Struthio camelus: one gene and its partners. The protein of the gene in region 2 purifies or fractionates together with the protein of the main gene of each other region. This does not show direct contact. Links are inferred from orthologs where the notes say so. Each region holds a gene or a part of one and is shown on either strand. Other genes may lie near its edges.

What was found.
Region 1: the proteins of HNRNPU (region 2) and HNRNPA0 purify together in Homo sapiens (affinity purification with mass spectrometry; 3 studies listed by BioGRID and IntAct, with this or other methods). This does not show direct contact. The link is inferred for Struthio camelus from reciprocal best matches to the Homo sapiens genes HNRNPU and HNRNPA0.
Region 3: the proteins of HNRNPU (region 2) and HNRNPAB purify together in Homo sapiens (affinity purification with mass spectrometry; 4 studies listed by BioGRID and IntAct, with this or other methods). This does not show direct contact. The link is inferred for Struthio camelus from reciprocal best matches to the Homo sapiens genes HNRNPU and HNRNPAB.
Region 4: the proteins of HNRNPU (region 2) and HNRNPA1 purify together in Homo sapiens (affinity purification with mass spectrometry; 6 studies listed by BioGRID and IntAct, with this or other methods). This does not show direct contact. The link is inferred for Struthio camelus from reciprocal best matches to the Homo sapiens genes HNRNPU and HNRNPA1.

The regions. Positions count from the first base shown.
Region 1 is NC_090954.1:5,744,347-5,752,109, forward strand, and holds HNRNPA0 (heterogeneous nuclear ribonucleoprotein A0), read right to left. Parts: upstream 3,003-7,763; 5' UTR 2,631-3,002; coding exon 1,677-2,630; 3' UTR 1-1,676. UniProt on the Homo sapiens protein: mRNA-binding component of ribonucleosomes. Specifically binds AU-rich element (ARE)-containing mRNAs. Involved in post-transcriptional regulation of cytokines mRNAs.
Region 2 is NC_090944.1:99,222,079-99,229,424, forward strand, and holds the start of HNRNPU (heterogeneous nuclear ribonucleoprotein U), read right to left. Parts: upstream 3,015-7,346; 5' UTR 2,799-3,014; coding exon 2,051-2,798; intron 1,039-2,050; coding exon 927-1,038; intron 799-926; coding exon 725-798; intron 1-724. UniProt on the Homo sapiens protein: DNA- and RNA-binding protein involved in several cellular processes such as nuclear chromatin organization, telomere-length regulation, transcription, mRNA alternative splicing and stability, Xist-mediated transcriptional silencing and mitotic cell progression.
Region 3 is NC_090954.1:5,964,110-5,971,507, reverse strand, and holds the start of HNRNPAB (heterogeneous nuclear ribonucleoprotein A/B), read right to left. Parts: upstream 3,007-7,398; 5' UTR 2,878-3,006; exon of another isoform or gene 2,731-2,877; intron 2,575-2,730; 5' UTR 2,539-2,574; coding exon 2,252-2,538; intron 1-2,251. UniProt on the Homo sapiens protein: Binds single-stranded RNA. Has a high affinity for G-rich and U-rich regions of hnRNA. Also binds to APOB mRNA transcripts around the RNA editing site.
Region 4 is NC_090969.1:2,899,853-2,907,224, forward strand, and holds the start of HNRNPA1 (heterogeneous nuclear ribonucleoprotein A1), read right to left. Parts: upstream 2,907-7,372; 5' UTR 2,857-2,906; coding exon 2,842-2,856; intron 1,888-2,841; coding exon 1,771-1,887; intron 1,170-1,770; coding exon 1,023-1,169; intron 485-1,022; coding exon 274-484; intron 185-273; coding exon 92-184; intron 14-91; coding exon 1-13. Other genes in the region: CBX5 (chromobox protein homolog 5), read left to right, coding at 2,907-3,371, 5,432-5,610, 5,910-6,096, 6,195-6,292, 6,404-6,554. UniProt on the Homo sapiens protein: Involved in the packaging of pre-mRNA into hnRNP particles, transport of poly(A) mRNA from the nucleus to the cytoplasm and modulation of splice site selection.

The DNA of each region.
Region 1 (7,763 bases), on a different chromosome or scaffold from region 2:
TAAGGAATTCAATTCTTTATTTGATATCCATAAACCCATAAACGTTGCTATTCTATATTTCTATGCAGGAAGGCAGTTTTCCCCTAAAACATTATGCTTTTTAATAAACAACAAACTTTAATTCTATTGCGTGAAAGGGCTACAAATATACATTTGTTAATCAAGCAGACTACACAGATATTTTTGCTTTACAACTGGCACCTATGTTACTGGTACACTTAGCTGGCTCATTTATCATAGCACTTTGCCCAAACAGTTTAGATTATCATTTTTTGAAATATGGGCAATTGCAATTATTAAAAAGAAAAAAACAAAAAGCAAAAGACCCAAAAAACGTGCTGAGGCAGGTATTGCAAATCCATTTCTTTTTTCAGTCAATACTCATGGAGCCCATCTTTATTCACATGCAGATTTCATTTCATTCCACACCAGTCATCTAATGGCATAAAAAAAGCCTTCAAAAGTCTAGTACAATTGTTAGCAAACCAATTTTACTTTGCTGTAATAAAGCCTACAGCAATGGTTCTGCCATCCTGCCAGTAGGTGGTGCTGCAAAATATTCTCGGGGAACTTTAATGAAGGACAATAGTTCAGAGTGAAGTCTGTTAACCCGGTACTATGAAAACAAGTATGCATTTAAAGAAGGGATAAATGTTGACCCTTTCCTGTAAGGAATCATATACAGACAAACCAATAAGAGGACTTGAAACTAAGCAATCGGAAATTCTGAACATTTTATATGAATGAAGCACATGCTTAACACAAACTATTTCTTCAAAACTACACAGTACATACGTTGATGGAAAAGTCCTATAGAAAAAATTGACCAACCATGTCAGCACGTCAAACTGCCTAGTACAAGATGGTGGATGCACACAAACTGCATAAGTGAGAACAAATATTTAAAAAACAGACCACATCCACGGATTAGTACTTCAAAAATTTCTGTCAAGTGTTTGAAAACCAATAAATCCACTAGGGGGGTAGCAAAAAAGTCAATTAGGACCTTTACTGGCAATAAAATATTTACTCTAAACACACAGAGATTTTAAAGTAGAGGAACACTTGTTTCAAACCCAGAAAAGCCTTAAACCGTACGGAATGAATCCTAGGAAAAAAAATTAGACATGTAAAGGTCAATGAACACAATGATTTATTTAAAAAATAAAAAACGTAAAAACGATTTTTTCCTCCTTTACAGAAATGTTAATTTCAGTCATGGGATCCGAGTAGATTTTGTAGAAAAAAATGTAGTAGCCAGGTATCGAGTCCTTACAACAAAGAAAATTCCCCCATAACCCTCCCCAGTTTTTACTCCAGATCAGCAAGACACTTCCCCCCCCGCCCCATACCCCCAAAAAACAAATTAAAACAAGACATTTTTTCGTTGCTAGTATAAAAACGACCAAGGTCCAAGTAATAATAAAAAAATAGAGTCCATCAATGACTGTAACACAAAGTATGTGTATGTGGGGCCCAGTCCATCTTCAGAGAGAAAGAAGTGGCACAGGCAGCAGAGGCGACCCCCAGGGGGCATTTAGGAGCTGCTCCCACAGCAGGGAGGCATTTAAAAGGAGCTGCCCTTCGGCGAATGAGGGGAGAAACCATTTAGAAGCTGCCCCGTATCAAAGGGAGGGCTCTCCATGCCACCCCCAATGGGTATGGGCGCTCCAACTTTAGAAAGAGCCGCCTCCATACCCTCCCCCACCGTAGCCTCCTCTGTACGGTCCACTGTTACTGCGGCCCCCCCAGTTGCCGCCCCCGCCTCCACCTCCTCCGCCGCTCTTCATGGGGCCGTAGGAGGACTGGTGCTGGCTGTAGCTGCCGAACCCGCCGTACCCGTTGCCGTAGTCGCCGCCTCCACCTCCGCCACCTCCTCCGTAGGAGCCGCTGCCGTAGGAGCCGTAACCGCCGCCGCCGCCGCCTCCTCCGCCGTAGCCGCCGTAGCTATTGTAACCGCCGCCTCCTTTGGAAAGGCCGTTGTGATCCCGGTTGCCGGAACCGCCGCCGCCGCCCCGTCCCCGTCCTCCGCCTCTGCCTCCCCGGGAAGGCCTCGAAGAGCCGCCGCCGCCGCCGCCTCCCCCGCCCGACTGGATGTCCTCCTTGGGCACGGCCTTCTTGACCTCCACGCGATGGCCCTGGATCGGGTGGAACTTGACCACGGCAGCCTTGTCGGCGGCGTCGTGGTTCTGGAAATAGACGAAGCCGAAGCCGCGCTTCTTCCCGCTCTGTTTGTCGGCGATGATCTCGGCCTTCTCCACGGGGCCGAACTGGCTGAAATGCTGCACCAGGTCCCCTTCGCCCACGTCCCCTTTGAGGCCGCCCACAAAGAGCTTCTTCACCTTAGCGTGGGCCCCGGGTTTGGCCGAGTCCTCGCGGGACACGGCCCGCTTCAGCTCCACCGCGTTGCCGTCCACAGCGTGGGGGGAGGCGGCCATGGCGGCGTCGGCCTCCTCCACCGCCGAGTAGGTGACGAAGCCGAAGCAGCGGGAGCGCTTCGTCTGCGGGTTGAGCACGACCACGCAGTCGGTGAGGGTACCGTAGGCCGCGAAGTGCTCCCGCAGCCCGGCCTCCGTGGTCTGCACGTTCAGGCCGCCGATGAACAGCTTGCATAGCTGCGAGTTCTCCATGCTGCCGCCGGTGCCGGGGCTGCGCCTAGGCCTGGCGCCGAGACTCCTCCTCCTGTTGGGGGGCAGCTCTAAGGTTTTTTTTTCCCCCCCCCCCGCTCCGTTGGCTTCTTCTTTCCCCCTCTCTCGCTGCGAGCAGCGCGACTTCACGGCAGCCAGCAGCCGCCAGCGATTTCTCCCTCGGCCTGGCCCACAGCCTTCGCTTCGCCTCCCCTTACCAGCGGAAGAGATGGGGCGTCCCGGCTGCCGCTGCTCCCACAGAAAAGGGGGGTGGGGGGATGGGGGGAAAACACAGACACGCACAAAATGGCGGCTGCTACTCTTCAAGCGCTCGGCCGGCGACTGGTGCCCACACAAAGGGGACGCTGGGAGCCCCGCCCGCCGGGCCGCCGCAGCGCACGCCCCCAACGCCGGCGCAGCCAATCAGAGCGGGCCGCCGTTGCCGTCCGCGACTCACCTATAGGGGCGGGGCCCCGGGCGTGATTGACGAGCGCGGCCCCTAATCGGAGGGCGCGACCTCCGCCGCGCGTCGGCAAAAGCAGCGAAAGAGGAAGGGGGTTCGCCAGTAACTGACGCCTTGGCTAGCCAATAGAATTCCCCCGCAACGGCCGGTGATGCGGGCCGCCCCCGGCTCGCGCCGAGAAAAGGAGGAGGAGACGGTGAGGAGGGGGGGAGGGATCGAGCCCGGCTGCGCCAATGCGTCAAGCCAGCGGACGCGAGCCAATGGGCCGCCTCCTTCCCAGCCGCGCGCTTTCTCCCTGGCGGCCCCGCCCCCGCAGCCGAAGCGGGGAGGAGAAGGGGGAGCGAGCCGGGGGGGGGGGTCTGCTGGCAGCTCGCGCGGGAGCATTTGAAACGCTGACCGTTAGGCGGCCGTGCCGCTCGCCCCTCGCCTCCGGCCCCGCCCCCGCCGGGCAGCAGGCCGAGAGGCTCCCGCCGCGCACCGAGGCCCCGCCCCGCCCCACCGCGGAGGGGGATTTCCCCACACGGCCGCCCGTTCCCCGACCTCCCTTCCGTGCAGGGCCGCCGAGAGCCCGAGGAGGCTCGCGCAGACTCGGACAAGCGGAGGCAGCGGCGGCTCCGCGCGCGTCCCCTGTCTCTGCCGCCCGGCGGGAAGGAGGATGTAAGGCGCCGACCAACTCCTCACGCTCCCCGCGGCCTCCCTGCCCCTTTTGCCGGCCGCTGCGAACCGGGCCCGGCCGCTCGGGGCCGCTGGGGCCGGGCGGCAGGAGGGGGCGGCGCGGCCGCCGCGCTGAGGCCGGGAACCGCCTGAGTGGAAACCAGCACGGACGGGACTTTTCTTACCTTGGGGGGTGTATTTTCCTCACTCTGCCAGCCCAAGCCTTTCACTTTCATTTCTCTTGGCTGGCACGCTTCTCCCAGCTTTCAGGCAACGTGGAAAGCATATTTTTATGGACGGGGGTGACTCCCCTCTTCAAGTCCCCCCCCCCCTTCCGTTGTAATCTCTTCCCACCTACTCCCTCTCCGCAGCTATCTGGCTCTTCTCTCTTTCGTGTTCACTCTCGCTTCCCTTTCCAACGTGCTCCCGGTCCTTGTTGCCTCCTGCAGCTTCTTTCTCTCTTACTTTTCCTGCTAGTGTTTCCTCGCACGTTTTCCAGTCTTCTTTCCAACCCTATCACTGCATCATCTTCTCACCCCTAAATCTCTCCTTAGCTCCACTGGGAGGTATTTTCTAAGATAAATAGTTACACCTCAAGGGTGTGTAAAACCTATGAGACTGCTAATACATACGTTTACTTTTGATGCTTTACTTTAATAGTACATTAAACGTTGCTGGCCTCAAATTTGTAGCCTGATTTTCAACGTACTGAATTTTTCATTGGAAAGAAGATTTTTACGCCCACTGGAGTTTATGCTACAAACGATCTGGGAGCCAAGAATCATTTTTGTGGTCATATTTTCTTTCCTTGAAGGTGAAAAGGTTAGCTCATGTTTTACCAGGCACGTTAGTGCCTGCACCACGAGGTTTCTGAAACAGATGTTAACCTAGTCCTCTTATCTAATCCTTCACAGTACTCTGTAGTAACTAATTCAGTTACATAGCCTTCACGTGTGGTATTCCTTTATAAATCGCAAGCGTCCCCTTCTAACTGCTCTTCTTTCCGCATCGTTCCCCTGTTCCATTTCTGCCCAGCGCAGGTCCAGGAGCGGTACCGATACGATTTGGTGCACTGTGTGTCTGGCCACTGATGCTTCCCCTTGAACGTAAGCCTCACCCCATCCATGCTCCCTCTCCTGGTGCGTCCCCTTCTGCCTTCCCTCAGCAGCCTTCACACATACCTGCCTGGTCTGTTTCGAAAGCCTTCAGCGAAGGCAATGTCACAGCCTCCTCAGGTAGCTTCTTCCTTTGCTCGTTATCCCTGCAATGAACAAATCTGAGCATAGACATTAAGACAATCTACTTCTGATAAAACAGACCACGTATAATCTAACACACTGAAGTGCGTGCAACCCTCAAAACCTCATGAGGTGTTAAAGCATCCATACTTAACAGCACTCACTTCACCCTTCTCCTCTTAAATATATACGTATATACCATGGGGCCGGCTCAGATCCCATTACTTCCTCTTCAGTTTGGGAATCCCTCCCTGTTTGCTCTGTTCCTTGCTTTCTGTTTCTTTGCTTTTTCAGGCACTGGATCCTGAATTGCAGGCCTATCATATCTCATCTCTGATGATAATTGCATAGACTTTTTCAAGATTTTTTTTTAGGACACTGTTCCCTCTGAAGTGATTGTGTTACCTCTACCAATAATACCCATTTTATATCCCGATTCTTACCTTTCAAAGGCCTGTCTGTGCTATTCCAGTCTCCACGCTTCCCAGAACGTTGGCACCAAACCTCACAATCACATCACTGTTACCAGCTTCTCTTCTCCAGCTTGATCACAAGTTTCCCAACCAGGGCAAGAGGAGAGACAAACAGCAGTGCTGGGCCTGGTCCCTTGGTCAGAGAGACTAGTATAAGTCTCCCCTCCAATTTTGATCCGGGGAGCCTTTATAAAGGTGCAGCAAGAAAAACACCGAATATTGCAGTCCTCCTGACTTGGTGGTTACAGTTTTGTATAAGGTATCATATCAGGATGTAGTTCCCCAGTAGTCTAAACTGATCCATGTTGGGGTTAAAGCTGTCCTGCCCTCCAGCCATGTGATCCTGCTTCTTCCCTTGGACCAGCACTGATGCTTGTGCAAACATAGAGTGATACACTTAAGAGAGAACTGAGACAGCCAAAAATAATCTTACAGTGAAAAAGTACTTAGTTTGTAGCTGCCTCAGCTTTCTGAAACAGTTCACTGCACGATCCCTTGACTGCCAGCGTTGGCACAAGCGAGGAAGCAGAACTGCAGAATCCCTGACTTAGATCATCTTAAGATGCTGTAAAAATGCACTCTTGGAGACTCACAGATGTAAGCATAACATTGACCTCAGTAGGAAGTGAGGTAACTACAGCCCCAGGCAAAGTCCAAAAAGGCTCACAATCTCAGCACAGAGTAAACTGTGGTTCTTCCTTTTCCTCTTCAGATGGTGTCAACTCCAGAAATTAATACTACAACGCGTTACTAAAATTCTGTCCTCGTTTCTGTCAGTGGGCCAAGTTTTCATCCTTTAAACTCAAAGGAGTTGTTTCCTGTTATAGCCAAGTCTATGAAGAGTAACTTATGACAGAAATATTGTTTATGCTCGAGAACTATTGACAGGGGAAGATGACATTTGTTTATATCAGACACAGTCATTTTATCTAGCTTTTAGAAAAGAGAACGTGCTCATAATGTCCCTAAATTGTTTGTTGTTTAAAAATAAACAAATCATGCTACTCTATCAAAAAAAATGAAAAGCTTTCTTTTTCTCCCCAGGAGCTATGTGAAAGTTCCACACAATTACAAGAAATACAAAAACATATTTTGCCTGCCACTCAATATAAAAACCACATAGCTCTTCCCAATACATTAATTCTGTTTGACATAGAAAACACCCTATGGGAGTTTTAATAGCCCTTCAACAATTTACAGCAAAAGAGGAAGAAAAATTAAGAGGAGCTAATTATGGCCTCAATGGATCACAAAGAAAACAGAATGCTTGTTTTTACAGAGAGACAGCCATAAACAAAACAGACAAGTAGGCCAAGGAGGAGATCAAAGAAAGAAGTCACTACTAACGGGGAAAAGGTAAGGGTCTTTAAGAAGAGGTGAGCAAATCGTTAGGCAAAAGTAGTGGCTGACACAGTGCAAATATAGCGCAAATGATTCCTCTTCATTTGCACGTTCCACTTCTCTTGACTGGTTAATGATGATCAGAAAACGAAAAAGGAAAATATCTTTAAAATATATATATACACACACATCTCTTGCAGATGGAAACATCTCTGACGTTACAGAAAGACACACCTTCGCTTGATCTGGTGTTCTCCTGTCTGCTGTCCCTTCCCAACTGCCTTGTAAGGGATTTCATATAGTTCATGTGTTTGCTCTAAATCATGTTCTAAGAATTCAATCCCTGCATTTACAGGCACTGTAAATGTACAGCACCCTAATACATACCACAAGGCTCCTGTGATGCAAGGGGATTCCTAGACAGCTAAACATCAGTTGCTCCTGCATGTCACGCACGGTGTGGATGATCTTCATACCTCCCAGGTCATCTGAACCAGAATGGAGACTCCAGCCAGAGACCTCTCTGTTCCTGTAGGACTCATATATTAGGTGAGGCATCCCATCGCGTGATAAGCGTGCCAAGTTGCATGCTATAAGCATTCCTATGAGCCAGGAGTCTGAAAGTTTTTTTTTTTTTTTTTCTAGCTGTGGTGAGCCGAGGCAAACGTGAGATACGCAGGTACCTCCGTAGAGCAGTCAGAGCCGAGAACCAAAGAATGACTCTCTCACTGTCATGACTCTCTCACTCTCATGTCACTGCATGTAAGATGTGACAAGTCTGCTAAAACAGACAATATTCCAACATCTACAGCAGTTTTCCTACAATTTTTTTGAACTATTTTTAACTATATATGAGTAAATGCATAATATTGTCCTACATATTAAAAAGTTCTTAGGCAACCTGCACACTAAAAATTCATTTTATAAGGATCTTAAGTTTCATGGGCAACAGCTCCACCTTTTGCAC
Region 2 (7,346 bases):
AACTGCTTATACTTACCCTCAAAGATAAGTTAGTCCAAATCATGCTGTACCACAATAATAGTAACATTTATAATCTGCTTCAAAAAACAGTTTGTATGTAGTTCTCAATTTCTATGCCCTTTGGACCAGTTCTCTCTGCCATGCCATTTGCATATACCATCTACCCCCCCCAACCTCGCAGACTGCATGAATGCAGCATTTTCCAGGAGCTTTCTGCTGATTTCTTCTCAAGTTTATTAGAAATCAAAAAATATACTGCATTAGTTTGCATGTAACTAGGGCCTCAGCAAGTTATGCAGGAAACTTACCCCACAGACTGTACTACCTTAGCCCTCTGTTTATTCCTGAAACTTATCGAAGTAAAACATTCACGTGATATAAAATTAGTTTCTCACGACTCAAGCTCCCAAGCTGTTTCTAGCATGATCTACGTTCACTGCACGCTTGCACAGCTTAGTTTATGTACCAGGTTAGTGTTTTGGTTAAGATTTCTTCAGAAAACGATATGATATTACGTTATTTCTTGGGAAAGCCAAGCTTATAATTGCTAATAAAGACCCAGGCATCCTTTTGTTGTTTCGTTATACTGAAAAGTAAAGGGCTAATCTTGCTGTTTCTTAGTAATAACGATCAATGGATCTGCCCTACATTTCAGAAAGCATAGTTTTAAGTTTAAAAGCATACCACTACACCTTCTAGAGCGCAGGAAAGCATGTTTACTCACAAGTATCAAGACAAACCACTGTGTCATCAAAATGCTCATCTTCTTCTTCAACAGGTGGTTGAGGGGACTTAGCCCTGGCGAGGGAGGAGGAAAAAGAAGAGAATAAAAAATTAAAGTTGGAAGCATTTTAGTAGGGGTATAGGAAATACTTCCTACAGCTTCTCATTCGCAAAATCTTGTCCAGCATCAAAAGTTTCTTTACCTGCTGTACTTATTTTCTTCAATGTATTCAAAATACCCACGGCCATGATCTTCACGTGGTCTCTTCACACCCCTCTTTTTCTCACCAGGTTTTTGTTCTGTTTTAGCATCTCCTGTAACAGAGTTAACAATTTATTTTAGCAACGCAATGTAACTCTGCTGGGAATAAAACCATCCATAACGTTTCCAACTTTGGAAACTGAACGAAAACCCTCAGGAACTGAAAAGCAACAGCATCTTGGCAGACTTTTTTGTGTTGCTCCAAGACAAAAAGCTTGCATCTCCGCATCTGGCACGGTCCTCGATGTTAAGAGAAGACGCCCAGAGAAAAGCCATCCCGCTCTCACGCGGTGAAAAAGAACGGCCAAGAAGGCGCCCGCGCTCTCACCCGCGCCGAGCAGGACACTCCCGGGCGCTCACAAGGACGCCGAGCGCTCCGCACGAGTGCGCCGCCTCCCGGCAGGCCGAGCGCGGCGGGCGGGAGCCCCCGCGCGGGGCCGCCCGGCCGCCTGCAGGGAAGGGATTCCGCCTCCTCCCGCCTCCATTGTACCAGGCCTTCCAAACGCGATCCCGTGGAGCACCCAGACCGGAAGTGACGTCACGCCGCCGAGCGCTCCTTTGCACAATACAGCGCGCCCCAGCGGCCCCTCCGGAGGGGCCGCCCCTCCCCCCGCGCGGCCGGCGCAGCGGCCCCTTCCCCTCACCCCCCGCGCGCCTCCACTCCACCCCCCTCGCGCAACGGCCCCTCCTCCTCCTCCAGCCGCCCCGCGCAACGGCCCCCTCTCGAGAACCCCTCTCCCCCGCCCGCGGCCCAGCGCAGCCGCCTGGCGAGGAGCACGCGGTGCGGGGGGGGGGGGGGGGCGGCGCCGCCGCCGGTGTGTGTGTGTGTGGGGGGGGGAAGACTGGAAACCCCCTCGGGGACACCGCCCCCCCTCCCCCCCCCCGGCGCGGGAGGCGCCGCCGTCGCGCCGGCCGCGAACGCCCTCCCGCGCGCACCCCGGAAACCGCCCTCTTGGCCGTTGCCCGCCCGCCCGCCCCCCCCGCCGCGGGGGGGGGGGATTAACGGCCTTTCTTTCCCCCTCCGCCCCCCCCCCCCTTTCCGCCGAAGGCGTCGCGCAAACTCACCCCCGGCGGCCTGAGCCCCGGGGCGGCCGCCACCACCGCCACCTTCCGCTTTCTTCTGCTGCTGCTGCTGCTTAGCGGGGCCCGCCGAGCCGGCGGGGGCCGCCGCCGCCGCCGGGGGCCCCGAGGCGCCGCCGGTGCTTTTGCCGGGCGCTTCCTTGGCGGCCCCGCGCGGCTGGAGGAGCGGCGGGGGCTGTTGCTGCTGCTGCTGTTGCTGCTGGGGCTGCGGCTGCTGCTCGCCATGCCCGTTGGCGTCTCCGGCCGCGGCCTCTTCCTCGTCGGCGAGCTCGTCCTCCCCCTCTTGGAAACCCTGGTCGTCTCCGTTCTCATCCTCCTCCTCCTCCTCTTCCTCCTCCTCGCCGCCCGCCTCCTCTTCCATGGGGCCGCCCCCGGCCCCCGCCCGCTCGCCGTTCTCCTCGCCCAGCTCCATGGCGTCGCCATCGGCGGCCTCCAGCCCTTCCTCGTCGTCGTCCTCCGCGGTGGAGGCCGCGGCCTGGTCGGGGCCTCCTCCTTGGTGGAGCTGCGAGGCGCCCCCGCCGCTCTCGGCTGCCTCCCCCTCCATGCTGCCGTTGCCAGGCTCAACTGCGCTGCTGGCGGGGCCTCCCCCGCCGGCCTCCTCCTGGTCTAGCGCGGCCTGGAGCCGCTCCATGAGCTCGGCCTTGAGGCCCTTGTCGGAGAGGCGCCGCTTTTTCAGCTCCTCCTTCAGCTCCGACACCTTCAGCTTCTTCACGTTCACGGGCGAGCAGCTCATGGCGGCGGCGGCTCGGTCCCTGGGCGGCGCGCAGGCGACTCTGGGCTCGGGCGGACGGCGGCGGCGGCTCTGGGTCGAGGCCCCGGTGGGAGGCGGTGGGTGGGTGGCGCGGCTGGTTCGTGCGGCTGCGGCAGCTGCAGAGCGGACCCGCCTGGCGCCAAATCCTTTCACCGAGCTCGCGAGGGAGACGCGCCTCGCGGGGCCGAGCACGCAGCACTGCCCGCCCCGCCCCCGCGCACGTAGGCCCTCCTCCCCCCGCTACCGTAACGGCCGCCGCACGCACCGCCGCTACCGTAAATACCGGCCCGAGCGCAGCACCTCTGCGCGCCCCCCGGCGCCTCTCCCGCGCGGGGCGCCGTGCGCTGGGGCCGCCCCCGCCGGCACCCGGAGCCGGACCCGAGCTCGGGGCGGCAGGAGGGGCCCTGGCAGCCCGGGCTGGTCGCGTCTACGCGGCGGAGTTACGGGAAAGGAAAAGTTGCCTCTGCCGGCATAAGCCCCTCCGCGCCGACAGCTGTACCTGCGCCATGTTGGGCCAGGCGGCGGCAGGAAGCCCGGCGAGACGCCCCGCTGCCGCCCGCTCGCTTTCGGCAAAATACGCCATTCCGGACGGGAAACCGGCCCCAGCGGGACCCCGCCAGGCCTCCGCTCTTCCCTCGGTGCAAGATGAGGCCTGAGCAAGGCCCCAGATAGACCCCCCCCCCCGGCGGCCCCTTCCCCCCCGCTGCGGGCACCCTCCGCAGGCCCGGCCGGCGCGCTGCGCCGCGCGGAAAAGGGGTTGAAAATTCAGTTTCAACTGAAAGTGGAAACAGTCCTTCTCAAAATAGTCGCACTGGTACAACCCTGTTAGCACAGTTACATAAGGACAAAAGTAGAGCTATAACAGCAATTTCTTCACAGGCTACGGCATGCGCCAGCCTGACCGGTAACTAGACCGAGTGGCTCCACAAGCCACAGGGCTAACTTAAGGTTTTCAAGTGCGTTAACTCTCCGTCAGACAAGCAACGCTCGTCTGCAGCTTAGTGCAGAGCTAGCTGACCAGGTAACCAACTGCAAGCAAACTGCTGTTGCTCCCAGCTTTGCTGCTCCAGAGCATTCATGTAGGTCTCCTCTCTGTTCTGCCACCAAGCTGTGCACCCACTGAATTTTTCCAATATGGTCCAAAGCTACTGGAGCAGAAACAGCAGAGAGCAGCGCAGATGAACAGGAGGTTAGCATTAGTAGACAAGTCTGGTTCCTTAGGAAGCCCTAGTAAAAAGTTAATTTTCACTTGCTTTTAGAAATTTTAAAAAGAGGCAAGTTGAACAACTAAAGATTGTTAAAAAGCCCTATTGTAGGGAAGGTGTACTGACATGAAGTTGCCTTGTACTGGAGCAGGTCACATGGCCTTCTAAACCAGAAGAAATTATTTAAGTTCACCTGCCTTCAGGAAAAGGGAGGAGAGACAAGGAAGTCGCACTGTTTTTAACTATACAAGGAAAGTTAAACAGTCCCTTAAGCACATGCATGCACTCTGTCCTCTCCAGCCAAGCTGAATCCACTCAGAGGAAACACGACTCAATCTGCAAGGTTAGCTCAACCCTTCACTGCACTAAGTCTTGTTGGAACAGAGACAGCAAGAATTCCCTCATGCAATATGTACAGCTTAGAAAAAGGTTATCACAACCTTTTCCTTATATAAATGCAAGTTAGTAGATTTTCCTCAGTTGAGGAGGTCACAGTCATCTAAATAGGGGGAAAAAAGGAGATTTAAAAAAAGTGCATCAGTACTAAGGAGAGGTCAATGCATGATCAAGCTGCACTGGTATAAATTACCTTTGTGCATTTCTTCATGTAAGAGCTATCTAAACTAGTCTGCTGAGGTAACAGTGATATATATTCCCATGGAGGGGAACAAAGTGTAAACAGGGCTTACCTAGTTAATATTACAAGATTACTTACTGGAGTTTACAGACAACTCTACAATAAGGTAGATGTCTTTTGCTTCTCCCACCTCTATGCTCTTTTGTGAACTTTAAATTTAAAATTTTTAAACAAAACACACACTGAGTCTTTTCGATTTGTAGTGCGTCTGAACCTGAGGCAGAGCCCTACATTTAAACCTTGATCTGGTACAGTCTTCATCACATGAGGAGCCATGTTTGCAGAACTTCATCAGCCTAGTCCAATAATCCTACCAGCGCAAACTTTATGGCTTAGATCCTTTCAGCCTTTTTTGATCCTTGAATGTTGCCTTGAATTAGCACATCTGCACACATTTACAGCACTTGTGTTAAAAACTGCCCTTGTTCAGAATCATCTTAGAGCTGCAGTCCTCACATGTAATCCCCTTCCTAAACAATGTCATGTCTGCCTACTTCAGTAACATGCTCATACAGCTTTATACTGCTGTTACCATGGAGAAACAAAACAGCTAACGACTTTGAGGCACATCAAGAGATTACTTACTTACCCCAAAGCACTCAAGCCTGTATATAAAGGCTCGAGTACATAAAATAAGAATTGTAATTTGTTTTGAGCATTAAAATAGAGGCTCACTATTTTTTTGCCCCAGAAATTTTTTAACACCAACCTGAAAAGGCTCCTCTCCCCTTTAAACTATTTAGAAGGCTGAACTTTTGTTTTAGGGGATTAATGCATACCATAGCAGTAAGTACATGGTTGTATAGTACCATTAGTTACACTATCAAACAGATAGTCACAAATGTAGTAAGGCCATGCCTTCGGTCTACAGAGTGCTGCTACCCGTTATTATAAAATGGGGAGATCCCAGCTGATTTTTAAATATCAAGTGATTTAATTGTGGTGAGAATGGCTTTTCTCTGAAAACTAAGCACATACAATACGCACATAACTGAAACAGGCATGCAACCTTATGACTGATTTCCATGGTAAAAGCAATTTAAGTTTTCTGCTGTGTATGTTAAATACATGTTGTTTACACAAATGCCCCAGTTTGGGGAAAACAAAGAGTTCACTTGTCCTCCCTGAGTCCTGAGTTCAGCGGTGTGACTCTTCCCCATTCCTACTTTAAGGGGGCAGGGGAAGAAGTTAAGGGAATATGCTTTCTCCATTGCTGTGCCTTTCCTTAATTCAGATAACAGTTCCTTCAACTCAGCTTTTCATAGATCACGCAGATACCAGCCACATCATAAAAATAAACATTTAGTCATATGAACTCCTGAAACATGAAAGTTCAAATTAAGCACTTCAGCTTTAATTTGCAAAGCTACCACTTGTGCAATAGTGACAGCCATAATAAATACCTAGCATCATTGCTGATAACCACAAATTGTCTTGCCTTAAATTACCCTTTCTTTGGTCTCAAAATATCCCCAAAATCTTAAATAAAACAAAAAACCCTCCATTTAATTGGAAAGTGGCATCTACCCATAAACAACACGTAGTCCCGTCTGCTTTCTTTGTACTTATTTATCCATCATACAGTATTTTCCTCATACCTCTGTTACATCTTCAGAAAGTTAAAATATCTTTCACTCCAAACCAGTCTCCCCTAAAAAAAGTAATTTGGGATCCTCTCAATCCGCAGCTCTCCCCTTCTAATCAGTTACTGTAGTCCCTCTAATTTTTATTTATACTTTTTCAGATTTTAGCTAGCCAACCTTCGCCTCTCACCCCTAATGTTCTTCCCATTAGTCACTGCTGGTCTTTCCAAGCCCCTCTCCTGCGTGCCAAGAATGGTCAGCCCTTCCCCAACCGCTGCCTCCTTTCCTGCAACGGTTCTTTTCTCTCCTGGATAGGAGATGTGGATGTCTTTCCAAGGGGTGACAAGAAGGGCAGGCTTTCACAGAGGGACCAGATGGTCCCAGGGGCCCATCCTGCCTGGGCTTTTGTCTGATTCTGCAGGTGCACAACACAGAGCCCATTCCTTCCTGGGAGGAGCTCAGAGGGATGTCGAGATCAGTTGTGCCAACTGCTGCAAGGACTGGCCTGGCATCTTCAGACTACCTCTAAGTTGCAGGGAATTGTCTCTTACCGCAAGCACAAAGACAAATCTATGTTTATATCACACTACTCAAATAGCAGTGATTCCCTGAAGATGAGATAGCTATTTAAACCTTTTCTTACACCTTCAACGTTGCAGAAGGACACAAACATTTATCTTTTCCTAGGTTTGCTCTCTTTCAGCCTTGTCTATCCTTTTCTGGCTGTTCTTCTCGTGCTTTACTTTCCTTCTGACCATCGCAATAGACTCCTTGGTCTCTTCTGTATATCCTCAGTCTCTCCACCCTCAATTAACACTGCCTTCAGAGTTTGACATCCAACATACCATTACTTTAAAAAGAGAGTATTATTCTTGAAATACTCGGCTGCCTTTTATGATAGCAGGGAGCACGTGAAGTAAGTCTTTTTCTCTAAGTCTCCTCATGAAATCCTCATTAATCATTATTAGGGCTGGTCAAAAAAATCCAGACATTTTTAAATGCTAATTTATCACAAATGTTTGATGGTGAAGGATCAATTTTGATGATTGTTCATTTCCCCCCCCCCCACTATACACACACATATATGTACACACAAATAAATACA
Region 3 (7,398 bases), on a different chromosome or scaffold from region 2:
ACTATAGATTAAATCAGAGTTATTGCTCTGTTTAGAAGCAACCCGAATTTGGCACTAGAAACTAGCAGCACTTTAGAAACTAGAGTACTTCTAAACAAAATTGGCTTTTGGTGTTAATGTATAACTTTGATTTGCCAAAGTTGCATCCATTTATATTCAAAAGGCAACATGAAAAAGAACTACATAGGTATATGTTTTCTAGATTTTTCCTTCAACTGAAGGAAAAATCTCCCTTTTAGGCTAAACCTAGAATTTTTCAGAAGATGAAGCTGTGCACTCTTAACAGACAAGGCTCTAACCGAAGTCTGCGTGCCTTTTTTTTTTTTCTTTTTTAGAACCCTTACAATAGAGCCTTACAGAAAAGATTTTACAAAATGTTTACTAAGGCTTTCAACAATGGGTGAAAGCAAGGTAACTTGATGGCTTCGTTCTCATCAGAACAGCTTACTGATCAAGCAGGAATTTTGCAGGATTGCTATGATCTGTACAGACTGACAGCAGCTATGCATAACATACCCCAGCATCATTGAATGCAATTACAGAATGCTCAAAAGAAATTCAATGGTGGTAGCATGATTTTGGGGGGGGGGGGTGCCTGCAAGTTGTTTCTGCACTAGGGATGGTGCTACTGTACACATGTAGATATGCCACATGCTAATTTCACCTCTTACAACAGCAGTAGATATACTTTAACTTACAATCCTTTGTTTTGTAACCCTTGTGATCAATACCTGGATATACGTACTTAAATAACACATGGTAGAGCCTTCAAAATTAAGGCTAAGATAGTCTTAGAAGTTATTTGGCTTCCCCTTCAGAGGGCCACACAGACTGGAAAATTGCAAGCTTAACATATACTTAACAGATACTTAACATATCTCTCCTCAGTGTATTAGTACTCATAAATCAAGGTACGGTTTAGCTATTAACAATACTTAAATGCTGGTGCCTCAGACTGCTCTTACTTTAAGTGTTAAAGTTTTCACATAGCTGAACGCCTGTAACTAATTTTCCTAGAAAATTAGAACCTTCCACAGATTTTGGGTCAAAAATTGTCACCTCCTATGTGAGAAAGGGGAAAACAACTCACTTTTCAGAGCAGAATACTTTAAAAAAGCAAAAAAAAAAAATCAAAGAAGAAACAAGAAACTCGCACAGAGCTCACAGGCCTAGATCTCAGTCCTCATGGGGTCTGCAGAAGGCATCCTGCCTGAGCTCTCAGGAAGAGTACAAGTCTTGCTTCCTCCCTTAAAGCCAAAGTCTATCATTCTACTGTGGCTAGAGCTTTCCATTTAACCTGAAGCAGACAACTCCTTCGGTTTAGAGCCCAGTGGTAACAGTTTGAATTAAATACATGGAGTCACTTGAATCACAAAGACCCTCTGAGAAGCAGGAAGGTATTTTTGAGTCAAGAATATATATTCATAAAAAGATAAACAGATCAGCTATGACAAGAAATAATTTGTACATAAGGATGCAGCTACTGAAGCAGAGACTGCCCCAAGTCCTCTACATAACACTTTTAAGAAATAAAACCTTTTTCTGACAATGCCGCAAATAGTACACCAAAAATCACACTTACTGTTTTAGACACATTGCACACCATCTCAATCATACTGTTTTTTCCTTCACTCTCCCCAAAAACACCGAGTCTCCCAGTGGCTTCCAAGCCCAGGACGGCTCTTTTATATGTATTAAACAAAACAGGTTCGCGTTGACACCAACGCCGGTGCTCATCGGGCGTGCAATCGCCAGAAAGTTTGAGCCAGCCCCCCACCCCCGACAGAAAGCAACTTCTTCCCCTCCCTCGCTCCCTTCGTTAAAAAGGGAAAACAAAAGAGGGAAACGCGGGGACGGCAAAGCGCGCGGAGGTAAATCCCCTTCCATTTTACAGCGTGAGAAGGCAACAAACCCGCTCCCCCGCCCCTCCCCCAGCCACCACATGGCGCCAACAAAAGGCAGCTCCAGAACAAAGGAAGCGCTGGTGCTGCAGGCCGCCGGCTCACCGCCCGCCCGATCCCTCCGCAGCGCGGCCGCCCGCCGCCCTCCCCCGCCGGCCGCAGCGCAGCGCAGCCCAGGGCGGCGCGGCGCGCCCGCCTCGCTTCCGCTCCCGCCGAAGGGCCGGGCCGGGCCTAGCGGCCGCGCTCCGCCGCCGCCGCACATGGCGCCCGGGGGCGGGGGGGGGGGGGGGGGGGGGCCGCGGCCTGCTCCCGCCTCAGACGCGGCCCGCCGAGCGCGGCGCGGCGCTCACCCCGCGTCCTCCTCGTTCTTGCTGGCGTTGATCTGGTCGCCTTCGGCCCCGTTCTGGCTGGCGGCCGCCGCCGCTGTTCCCGCCGCCGCCGGTCCGGCTCCCGCCGCCGCCGCCGCCGTTCCCGCCGTCGCCGCCGCCGTTCCCGCCGTCGCTGCTGCCGCTGCGCCCGCCGCCGCCGCCGGGGCCCCGCCGGTTTCGGCCTGCTGCTCTCCGGCGCCCTCGGCCGCTTCGTGCCCGTTTTGGGTGGCGCCGGCGGCGGCCGCCAACTGCTGCTCCGCTTCGGACATGCTGCCCCGTCCGCAGAGGCGAGACACGACAGGCGCCTGCAACACACGAGCGCGACGCTCACGGGTCAGCAAGGCGGCTCCCCCCTCCTCCTCCTCCTCCTCCTCCTCCCCGCCTGGGCCGGTCTAATCCGGTCCGGTCCCGCCCCTCCCCCCCTTTTCCGCCGTCGCCATCCGGCCGCGGCTCATACTCACTTTAAAACCCGCTCCCAATAAAATCCGGGCCGGCCGGAATCGGATTAAAATCCCCCACGCGCGCTGGTGCTGACACCCCTCCCCGCGGCGCTCGGCTGCTCCCGCACCGGCCCCGCCGCCACCTTCTCCTCCCCCCGAGACACGTACTCTCCGGCCCGGAGCCTTAACGCGTGGCCGCTTTTATACTGCCGGAGCCTCGGTCACACAGCAACAAAGCGCCTCCTCGTTGGCTGCCAGCCACTGTCACTCACGCGGTTCGGCCGCTCCTGTTGGCTCTCCCCGCGGGGAGGGCGGGGCGCGCGGGGTGAGGCGAATGGCGGCCCGCGGGACTAGGCTGGGAGGGAAGGGGAGGCCTCGCGCCTCTCGCCTCAGCGCTGAGGGCAGGTTCCCTGCCCGGCCCGGCCCGGCCCGGCCCCGTTGCCGTGTGCGGCAGGGGAAAGAAGGCGGGCGGGCGTCGTGCTGTTACCGCCGCGGCAGCCTAGGGCTGCCCGGGAGCACCGCCTCCCCCGGGGCCTGCGGGGCCGCGGCCGTTGTCCCCGGGCGGGGAAGGGCCGCTCCGCCCCTCCCCTCCCCGCCCCGCCCCGTCCCGTCCGACGTTACCGGCCCCTCGACGCGATCTATAAAATCGCCAGCGGCGGCTGGGACGAAACCCACCCCGGCGGGGGCAGCGCCCGGGCCGGGGGGAGCGCGGCAGCTGCTCGCGGCTCGAAGACCGGCGCGGTTGTGCGGCTGGTGCCGGGCGCGGCGCTGCCGGGAGCCGCCGCCGCCGAGGCGGGCTGGCGTGGCCCAGCCGCCCTGGGGTTGCGCAGGCCCTCGGGTCTTGCCCGGTCAACGACGGGAAACGCTGCTGCGACTTGAACGTAGTATTTATTGACAAAGAGTTGCAGTGGTTTCACTTAAGGTGTGGTATGAACACTGACTCAGTTGCTCCAGTACCAGAGGTTTGGTTAATGTTTCCAGCTCTGCTGGTTTGGCAACTGAGAGCGCCGGAGTTTATTGTTTTTAATGGAAACTTAGATTTGGTTGTTACATAACGCCGGGAGCTGGAGCCCTGAGCGTGTGCCTAGGCCTTAATTCCATTTGCCCGAGGATATATCAACCTTGTTGATGAAGCTGTGCATGAAGAGCGCGGCAGACACCCACCCGCTCACCCATACACGCACGGTGTAATCGTACTTTGAATTCTTGTACAGTTTACTATTCCAAATACCTCATTTAGCCATGGACACAGTCAAAGTGTATCACCACATCTTTAAAAAAAAAATGTTGCGTTCTTTGCTTCTAGGTAAAAAGTGACAATTGTTACCTAATTTTTGTAGTAATGAATGCATGCACTATTATTTGCTTGCTCCACCCTCTGGCAAATAGCTCCTCTGGCTCGACTTGCATATTTGCTCCTGTTATTACAATTCAGGAAGAACGCACATGGCTACTTCTGAATAAAAATATATAGTGGTGATAGATGTTGCTGTTTAGTAATCTAGTCTAGGATCCAGGTTGTCCTTGGGCAAACTGCCTTTACAGTGCTTTTTATCCTCTACTGGATTCATTTTCTTAAGTAGCAACTTAGAGAAACTGGAATAGAGGACGTTATATTTGGTTTTGTAAACTTCCTAGCAGTATAGCAGGCAGCATATTAAAGATGAGCACAAAATAACATGATTTGTTCAGATTACGAGTCCAACCCCCGCCCCCACTTTTTTTTTTTTTTTAAGTAAAAACATTTTATTGCTTCAGGCTATAAGCCAGACCTTTAAGCAATTAAAAAAAAGGGAAAACTTAGTATTGTGTGAGCATATGGAAAAAATAGCTCCCCTCCCCCGCTACAGCCAAGAACACCAAGCCACTCTTTTGTTTTGGTGCTTGCGGTACATGTCATGAGCATCATTTCAACTGGTCCAAGCTGAGCTGTCTGCTTTGATTCCCATGCACGTGTGCAGCAAGACTGCATAATATCTGTTACCAGGATTGCAGCTGTTTTAACTCCTTGAGTTTAAATCCTCAGTGATATTGGCTATTTGCTTTTGTAAACATATTTTTTCTCACGTTTTTGCTGCTCACGAATACAGAAGTACTAAAGTAATCTAAGAAGCAGGCAACACAAGTAATTTCAAGGATATAAGAAAGTAGTAAAACATACTAATACGTAGGATGTGTCAGCCAGATGCTCAATTCATGAAGATATTAATTTGTTAGCATTCTACCATGCTTTCAGCTCAGGCTACAGTAGCTCAAATCTTCACCTCAGGTGATTTTCATTTCAACATAGTCCACTGGCAGAGTAGAGTGCACTATGGACAAGCTCTATAATCAACTCTTCAGGCTGAGGTTTATGGAACTGAACATGCTATGGGGCCAAGGCAACAGCAAAGGGTTAATAAAGACAGTATAAATGTTTCAAAGTATGTTCTCTATTCTAGCGTATACCATTTTAAAGGAACACATCCCATATCCAGCAAGAGACCGTCTGTTGATTTTCAGGCAGCTTTGGCTTAGAGTGTAAGCCTATCAGATCTGTACCCAAAAGCAGTGGCTGTAAGGTATGGTTTGTGATTAAAAACAACTAAGCCACTGCCTGTCAGATGACCTCAATTAATTTATACAGTACACAGGCAGCATGCTTCAGTTGGAAAAATAACATGCGTTTGCTTAAGTGGATCAGGAGCACTATGGCCAAACTCACATTTGCAGATAGACTTAGCTAGGATGGCTGAAGTGGTTAATGCTACCCCCCTTCTGTCCCATCCACCTTCTTTTTGGAGGTTTTCATGTATGTAGCAGTTGCAGTTGAGTGTAGAAGCATAGCTGTTCCTAAGTTACAAGTTTATAGACCAGCATATGAAAGTAAACTGAAATTGGCAACAGTTCCTGAGAGTTTGTCATGTAAGTTCAGGCTCAGCTGATGGATATAACCAGACTGGTTTTGATGATACAATTCATTACTTCTTTTCCCTGCAAGAGTCATTGCCCCAATCATCAAGTTTGCTAAGGACTTGCAAGATTATCTATCTTCTCGTTTAGACTTCTCTGTATGTTTTCCTTTCTTTTCTTCTTTCTCTCTTTTTTCAGTTTTTTCTTATTTTGCTGAACTTGTCTTGTCTTTCCTTTCATAGCCTGTGCACTGGTGTTTTGGCATAGGTTATCTTTTCCTGGTTAAGACTGCTTTCTTTAAATTTGCAGACTCTTTTCCAACTGAGCATTTTCCCCACTCAGTTCCATCTCTCTTTTTCTCCCATATTTGCAATTCCAAATGTCTGTTTCCAGCTGCCCAGTCTAGCCATGATTCCCAGCTGCCCTATTTTAGAAGCTAATCTCTTCTTCTTTACTATTTTACATGATGCTTTATATGTCCCATACCCAACAGCAGGATAACAGTGTGGCTGTATACTGGCAAAAGCAGTCTGGTTTGAAAACTGATAGTGACGTGCAGGACTAACAATGTCACTGTTTACACATTGAAGACTGTACATTGAAGACTGAGAAAGTTGAGACTACGTGCCATTATGATTATTAGTATCAGGCCCCATCATGCCTTCAGGTTATTTTAAATACTTCCTCCGGGATGTGACTTAGGTTTGGGTCTTGTGTTTCATCCACATTCAAAGTCTGTGGTTAATCAAAATAAAATAAAAAAAAGACACATACCTTCTTGGGTGCTAATCCTTATATGACATATTTACTGCTGAGAGAAAAAGATCATTGCTATTTGTTTAATCCTGTAACTACGGTGACTATTCGTGACAGTGATTGAAATCCAACTGAATTTTACCTGTGTAAATTGAATTGAATTCTACCTTTACTTCAGGATCTTAGGCCTAATTCTGCCATTCTACCAAACTCGTTTACTCTATGCCATGCCCTCCCTGTCTAGTCCTACCAGCTTTAAGCCATACCTGTTTTTACTGCCTCTTTTCCTTTCTTCTTCATCTTCTTTATACTTCCCTGTCATGCCCATTGAGTTGATTCTTCTAGTCCTCCCCATTCTTTAGGAAGAGAACCAACATACCATTCACTGCCCTGAAATTCTTGGTGTAAGCGATCCCTTTCCTCCACCCTATGTTTGTCTTGTCTAAATTGACTGTAAGCATCTCAGGTCAGAGACTGCCTGCTATATACAAAATACCTTCAAGATAAAGCTTCTGTCTGAGTTAGTCCTTATGCACAGTATATACAAATAGGTTTACTGATAATAACGATGCAAGTAATCCCCTTGATTTTAATGGAATGGGTGAAAGCAAGAGCTCACAATAAGAAAGAATGGCAAGAGGGATGGTTTTACATGGAATTAAGATGAAGAGAATATGCATTTAAGGAAACATTGACAATATAACTTCAAAACCAGCCGGGAAATCTTCCTATGTTACTAAAATTACTCTACTTTGAAAAAAAATGCATTGACAGTATTTAGGGTCAGACTTCTAAAAGCACAATTTGATCCAAACCTAGCTACCAAGGTGACACATAGTTATAGCTACTGCTGACTTCTGAACTTACTCTAAAATTTTTCAGTTAACTGGAATATATACTTTAAGTATTTTTCTACGTACGTTGCCAGATACAGAAAAGACCTATCGTAGTTCTTCTGAAACATCATTTATTTAACTGATTGTCTCTTGTAACTTGCCATATAAAAGATTTGTATGTGTTTATTCATACATTCATTCACTC
Region 4 (7,372 bases), on a different chromosome or scaffold from region 2:
GGAGGGGGACAGCCTTTAGGAACAGCACAGACAGTAACGTCTAGCGTCAGCTCGGGGCGGCGGGGAGCTGGGGCGAGATTTGAGCGCTCACCTCTCTGGCTGGCTGAAGCGCTGGCCATTTCCTGCTTCGAGAGGGCTTTCCTCACCTCGCAGTTGTGCCCGTTCACAGTGTGGTATTTCTGAACTGCAGGGAAGGAAACGGCGTTTAGGACGCTGCCGTCAAGCCGGACGCCCATCCCGCGCCCCCAGCACCCTCCCCGCAGCCAGACTTACTGACTATCTTGTCGACGGAGTCGTGGTCATCGAAGGTGACGAAAGCGAAGCCCCTCTTTTTGCCGCTGCCGCGGTCTGTCATGATCTCAATGACTTCGATTTTGCCATACTGGCCAAAATAGTCTCTCAAGTGATGCTCTTCTGTGTCTTCCTTAATGCCGCCCACAAAGATCTTCTTGACTGTGAGGTGGGCCCCGGGCCGCTGGGAGTCCTGCGGGAACAACGCGTGAGGTGGAAACGGGGCGGAAACGGGGCAGCACCGCACGCCCAGGTCTCCCGGGCAGAAAAAAAAACAGGCTTCGGAGCCTCCGTCCTCAGCACCTTCACCCTCGCGCTCAGTCACCAGCCATCCAGCAGCACTCGGAAGCGGTTACCCTCTCAGCCAGGCCCGGAGCGAGGTGTTTAAGCCTAGAAGAGCTGGCAGTTCTGCCCCGCTTTGGTTACCGCTTATCCAGGCCGTGCAGACCCACCCCAAGGCCAGCCTTGAGCCTTCTACGCCCCATCTCTACCCTCAGCCAGGTCCCTTCAGCCCTTAACAGTGAGGTCCAAAAGCGTTTCTTGACCGCTGCAGGACTAGCTGGGAGAGCCACGGCCCGAGGCATCACCTGAGCCTCAGAAAAGCTCCTGGCACCACCAGGACGTGGCACATCGCGGCGGTCACCGCGCGCACGGGCACGGTTTGGCTGCGTCAGGTGCCCAGCGCCTCCTGGCAGCCCCGCAGAGCGTCCGCACCTCACGCGGGTTCCTACCTCTCTGGAAACGGCCCTCTTTGGTTCAACAACTCTGCCGTCGACTTTGTGTGGCCTGGCGTTCATGGCAGCATCGACCTCTTCGACTGAGGAATACGTGACGAACCCAAAGCCTCGCGAGCGCTTGGTGTTTGGGTCCCGCATCACCTGGGAGGACAAACCCACGTCAGACAAGGAACAGCGACAGGTACTAAACGAGCCGTCAGCAAACGGGGGTCCTAGCCTGCTGGTTACCAGTTAGCACCAACCCTGCTCTTCTCAAAGACACCATCAGGGACCAGCTGCCGCATGCAGAGACGTTGGCGCTGCCTCAGGGTGTCCCTATGACACAGCTCAGGGAAACTGGGGGATATTTTGGGGCCGGGGCTTGCTCCATCCTGACGCTGTCCCTCAGCACCTTCACCTCTCCCTTCTGCGGGCAGGTCCTGGCCCAAGCAGACAGGTCTTCCACCCAGAGCAACCACTTTCCATTTAACCCAAATAAATACGCTTCGAGCCCCTCAGTATTACACCACCAGGGCTAACAGCGGTCTGAGAGCCCCAGAGAGCCAGGTCTCCCCAGAGGTGTCACAACAAGAGCCCCTGAGGGCCGAAACTCAATTGCCCACCCTTGTCTCTGCACAGAGGCTCAGCTGCTTCCTGCACCGCTTTGACTCCGCTCAGCCTGGCGGAGAAGCCCAACGCAAACCACGTCTCCTCGCAGCGCAGAGCCCCGCGAGGAGGCAGGCAGGCGCGGGTCAGGCCTTACCACGCAGTCGGTCAGGGCGCCCCATTGCTCGAAGTGGCTGCGGAGGCTTTCGTCTGTTGTTTCGAAGCTGAGGCCGCCAATGAAGAGCTTGCGCAGCTGCTCGGGCTCCTTAGGAGACTGGTGGGAGAAAAGAGCGGTACGGGGAGGGGGGTGAGCAGGGGGTGCTGCTGCCAGCAGGCTGCCCTCCCTACCTGTCCTGTGGGACACCCCTACCCCCCCCAGGGCCACAGAGGTCCCATCACTGCCAACTCCCCTCCACAGGCCCCCCTAGGCCCAAACAGGTCCCATCACTGCTAATTCCCCTACAAAGGGGCCCCCCAGGCCCCAGTCAGGTCCTGCCCCCGCCACCCCCCTGCACAGGGCCCCCCCAGCCCTGTCCCCAGCCCCAGGCAGGTCGTGTCCCCCCCACACCGAACCTGTGGGCCTGCCCAGGCCCCACCAAGACCCTGCCCATCCCGAGGGCCCTCCCTGCCCCCCCCCCGGCCTGTCCCAACCCCAGGGCAGCCCCGTCACCCCCCAGGTCCAGCCTGCAAGGCCGCGCCGGCCGCAACTAGGCCCTGTCACCCCCCAAGCCCCATCTATGGGGCTTCCCCAGCCCCCAAGCGAGGCCCTGTCACCCCTGTGCCCCCCCCCGACCCCTCCCGTGCAGGCGGCCGGGCTCAGCCCAGCCCCGGCCCGGCGGAGCCCCCCCCCCCCAACCCGGAGCCGACCTGAGCGCCGCGCATGCGCGCTGGCCGCGCGGCCGCCATAGCCCACCCGAGCACAAAGGCGCGCACGTGGCTCCGCGAGCGGGGAGCCGCGGGTCGGCGGGGGGTTGGGGGGGGGGGGAGAGAGAGAGAGCGGGAGCGCGCGCGCGGCTGCGCATGCGCCGCTGGGGGCCCCCGGCGCGCCGCGAGGGGCGGGGGGGGCGCCCGCGCGTGCGCAGAGGGCGGCGGGGAGGCGGGGTGCGCAGGCGCAGTGCGCGCGGCCCGCCAGCCGCCGAGCGCGGCGGCCCAGGAGGGGGAGGCCGCGGCGGGCGGCGGCGGGCGGCGGCGGCGGCCCGGGGGAGGGCGGGGGCGGCGCGGCGCTTACCTCGTTCTTGGACATGGCGGCGGTGGGGGGAGAGGCGGCCTCCGAGCCGGGCTGCTCCGCGCGCGATGCTCCCTCTGCGAGGCGCCGACACAAAAAGGGGCCGAGTGACGAGAGCGCCGCCGCCTCACTCCGCCGCCCCCGCCGACCGCCCGCCCCCCGGCCGCTCCCATTGGGCGGTGCCGCCCGCGCCGCGCCCCCGCGTCGCCTCCCATTGGGCGGCGGGGCAAAGCGGTTGGGCCTCATTGGTGGTGGCGCGCCGCTCCGCCCGCGCTGTCGCCGCCGATTGGTTAGCGCAGAGGAGGTCCCGCCTCAGGGCCTATCGCATTGGACGAGGCCTCCGAAGCCCCGCCCGTGACGCGCGTCGATTTTTCCCGCTTCGTCCCGGAGACTCGCCAGCTCTTCCCGGATTGGCTCCGTCGGTCGCGGTCCCGCCTCGCGCCTCCCTCTCATTGGCTAGCGCAGCAGCCCGGCGGTGTTCATTGGCGGGGCCGGTTGTCGCTCAGCGCTCCCCTGCGGCGGGCCCGGCGGAGGTCAGCGAGCGCAGCAGGAGCGGGGCCGCGGCGGAGCGGCAGCGGCGGGGCCGGGCGGCGCGCGGCGCCCCCAGCGCAGCCCCCCGGCGCGCGCGGCAGCAGCGAGGACGCTCGCCCGCCCGCCCGCCGGCGCCCAAGGTGGACTCCGCTCGGCGCATGCGCAGCCCGGCGCGGCGCGGGGCCGGGCGGGGCGGGCGCATGCGCGGCGCGGGGCGGCCGGCGCCTGCGCGCTGAGGGCGCTGTTTTGGCGGGCGGCGGGCAGTGCGCAGGAGCGGCGGCGGCTCGGCGCGGCGGCGGCGGCGCGGGGGAGACGGGGCCGCGGCGGAGCTGCTCCGTGCCCAGGTAGCGGGCGGCGGCGGCGGGCCGGTGGCGGCGGCGCCTTGCGCCGAATGAATGGGGGGCAGGGAGCGAGGAGGGGGGGCGTGCCCCGCCGGCCTGATTGGCAGCCGCGCGGGCCAATGGTGCCGCGCGGGGGGCGGGGCCGCGCCGCCGCGGGGGGCGGGGCCGGAGGGGGCGGGGTCGCGCCGCGAGCGACGGGCGGCGCGGCCAATGAGGCGGGCGGGGCGGGGCCGAGAGGGGCGGGGCCGCGGCGTGAGCGGCGGCGGCGGCGGCCAATGGGAGCGCGCGGCCCGCCCCGCCGGGTGGATGTGCAGCGCCGAGCAGCGGCTCCGGGCGGCCGGCGAGGCTGGCGTGCGCTGAGCGGCGTCGGGCCTCAGCCCGGAGCCCAGGGGCCTTGGCAACAACCGGCGGCCCCAGCGCGCTCGTGCGGGGCGGCCGGGCCGAGGTTCGGCTCCGCTCCTGGCGCCGTGGGTCTTCTCCTGCCGTCGCCCGTTATGTTTCTTACAGCTCTTAAATCGCTCCGGAGAGAGGCGGCTCCGGGCGGCGGAGGAGACCCGTCTCGCATCGGGTGGGAGGAAGCGCCCGACTGCTTTGGTGTTATTTCTCTCCGGTTTGGACAAGCCGGAGCGAGGGGGCGGCCGCCTCGGCCCGGCCTCGGGGCTTTTCTCCGTGGGGTTTGGCGGCAGCGGCGGAGCCCCGTCGCCCGCCAACGCGGAGGTTTCGCGGGGATCCCGCTCCGCGCCCTTTGCTCCCGAGCTGCTTCGAGCCAAAAATCAGCGGTTTTAGGGCTGAGGCCGGCTTTGGGCACGCCTTTGCCGCGGGTCGAGGCCGCGGCTTGGAGCTGGAAAGCGCCTCCGAACGCCGCGGCATCGATGGCACGAATGACCCACGCTGGGAGATTTCGGAGGGGCCTGTCACCGTGGCGTCAGGGCTGCCGGGGTCTCCCCCTGCCCCATCTACATCATCGCGTTGAATCGCCCGGGGATAACACGCATCCCGGGGCCCAAACACCGCGTGGCTGGAAGGCGGCTTCGAGGGCCGGGGCGGAGCGGGGGGAAGAGGGCGATTCCCTTCCCGCTAGCTTTCGGTGCCGCCGTTTTTGGTTTAAAAAGCAGCCTAAAACGCACCGAAAGCGGGTGGCGCCGAGCTCCTTCGCCCGCCGCCCCGCGCCGCCAAACCTTTAATCAAACCGCCCCGGCGGGGAGCGAGCGCCGATGAACCCGGCTCTTTCCTTTTGCCCCTGCAGGAGGAGGCCGAGCTCCGACAGGCGGCTGGCGCGGGAACCGGCGGCCCCCGGCCGGCTCCGTCGCCGCTCGACCTACGCCGGCACGCGGCAGGAAATGCCGAGCGGGGACGGGGAGACGAGGAATTTCCTGATTCCCGTCTCCGGTTCTTCTCGCTCCGTTTTTTTTTTTCCTGTGTCATTAAAACAAAAAATAGAGGATTTAAAAACCCAGCTCTTTGCCCGGGAGCTTGGAAGCATTGCCGGCGGGGGACGCCGACGCCCCGGTTCGGCTCACCCGGGGCGGGATGGAGGCGGTGGGCGGGGAGGGGGGGGATCACGCGTACGCGGCGGCTTCGAGACCTTGCGGCGCCCGCGCCGAGAAACCAGATTCAAACCGCGGCGCCGGTCGGCCTCGCTCCGCCCGGCGAATCCCCGCGCGGCCCGAGCCGGCCTTTGGGGATCGTCCGGCGAACGGCGTTTCGCTTCCGGCCGGCAGGAATTGGGTGGCGTCGGCGCGTTCGGCGGGAGCTCCTGCGCTATGGGCAAGAAGAGCAAGCGGACAGCAGACAGTTCGTCCTCGGAAGACGAGGAGGAGTATGTGGTGGAGAAGGTGCTAGACAGGCGCGTCGTCAAGGGGCAAGTGGAGTACCTGCTCAAGTGGAAAGGCTTCTCCGAGTAAGTGCCCCCTGCCTTCGCGGCTCCGCTCAAGCCGAGGAGGAAGAGGAGGGAGGCGGGGGGCACCCCTGGGCGCAGGGGAGAGCCTCTCCCAGCCTTGGGGAGAGGCCCAGCCGCGGCGCCCGGAAAGCCGTTTAGCAGCACTGCTTGCTTATCTATTTATTCATTCATTCATTTATTTATTCATTCATTCATTTATTTATTCATTCATTCATTTATTTATTCATTCATTTACTTATTCATTCACTTATTCATTCATTCATTCATTCATTCATTTATTTGAAATTTCCCGCTGGCAGGGAACATAACACCTGGGAGCCGGAGAAGAACTTGGACTGCCCGGAGCTCATCTCGGAGTTTATGAAAAAATACAAAAAAATGAAGGAAGGCGACGCCAACAAAACGCGCGAGAAACCGGAGAGCGCCAAGCGGAAATCCGGCCTGCCCCACGCCGCCGAGGACATCAAGGCCAAAAAGAAACGGGAGGTGAGCGGAGGCCGGGCGACGGCGGGCGGGAGGGGTTGGGGGTAACGCGGCGCCGCCAGCGCCCCGTTCCTCCTTCGCGCCCTCCCGTCCGTCCGCAGAGCAACGACATCGCGCGGGGCTTCGAGCGAGGCCTGGAGCCCGAGAAGATCATCGGCGCCACGGATTCGTGCGGCGACCTCATGTTCCTGATGAAGTGGTGAGCGCGGCTGCCCCCCGCCGTTGGGGACGCGAACCGGGCAGGGGGGGACGCGGCTCATGACGCCCCGTTATGTGTTTGTGTCCCCCCCCCCCGCCCCAACTCCCGCAGGAAGGACACGGACGAGGCCGACCTGGTGCTGGCCAAGGAGGCGAACCTGAAGTGCCCGCAGATCGTCATCGCCTTTTACGAGGAGAGACTGACCTGGCACGCATACCCCGAGGACGCCGAGAGCAAAGAGCGCGAGGCGGCCAAGAGCTAAGGCGGCCCCCGGCGGCGCCCCCGCTGTACATAGCCCGTCCGCCCGCCGCCCGTCCCCCCCCCCAACCCCGTTGTCGTCCGTTCCCCCCCCCCCAAAATAACCGCATCCCCCTGCCGCCCGCCGGTCCCCGCGGCGGTGGCCTCGGGCGCCCCGGCGCAGCGCCCGCAGCCGGTCCTGCCTGGGGAAGGTGGTGGTGGGGGGGGGGTCTCCCCTTATGCCCCCCCCCAACCCCATCGGCCCCCGTTTGCCCCCAGCGGGGCCCGTGGGTGCCTGCGTCGCCCCCCCCGCCCCCCCCGACCAGTGACAAAGCCTTGGGGTCCGTCCCGGGGACAGGACGGTTCCCCCCGTCCCCCCCCCCACGGCCAAACCCCAGCTCTGGGGCTGGGCAGGGGGGTTGGGGGGGGGTTCAGCCCCCATCTCTGCTGTTTTTCTACCGTTGATGTTTTTAACTGGGCCCCCCCCCCATCCCCAGCCCCCGGGGGCCCCCCCCACCACCCTGGGCCACTTCATTGTCCCCCCCCCGCCCTGGGTTGTCCCCTTCTCCCCCCCCCCCCCGGTATTTGCTTCCAATAAACGGTCACTTTTCAGGAGCCGCCGCTCGGTGCTCGGCAGCGGAAACCGGCCCCCCCCCGCCAGTGTCCCCAGTGTCCCCAGCTCGGCCCCCCCCAAACGGTGGTGTCCCCCCCCACCCCAGGCTGCAGGGAAGGGACCCAGGAGTCCTGCTCCCCCCCCCCGCCGAGGAAGCAGGATGGGGCCCAGGTGTCCGGCCCCCCCCCCAGCACCGCAGGGGGTGGGAAAGGCAGTGCCCCCCCCCACCC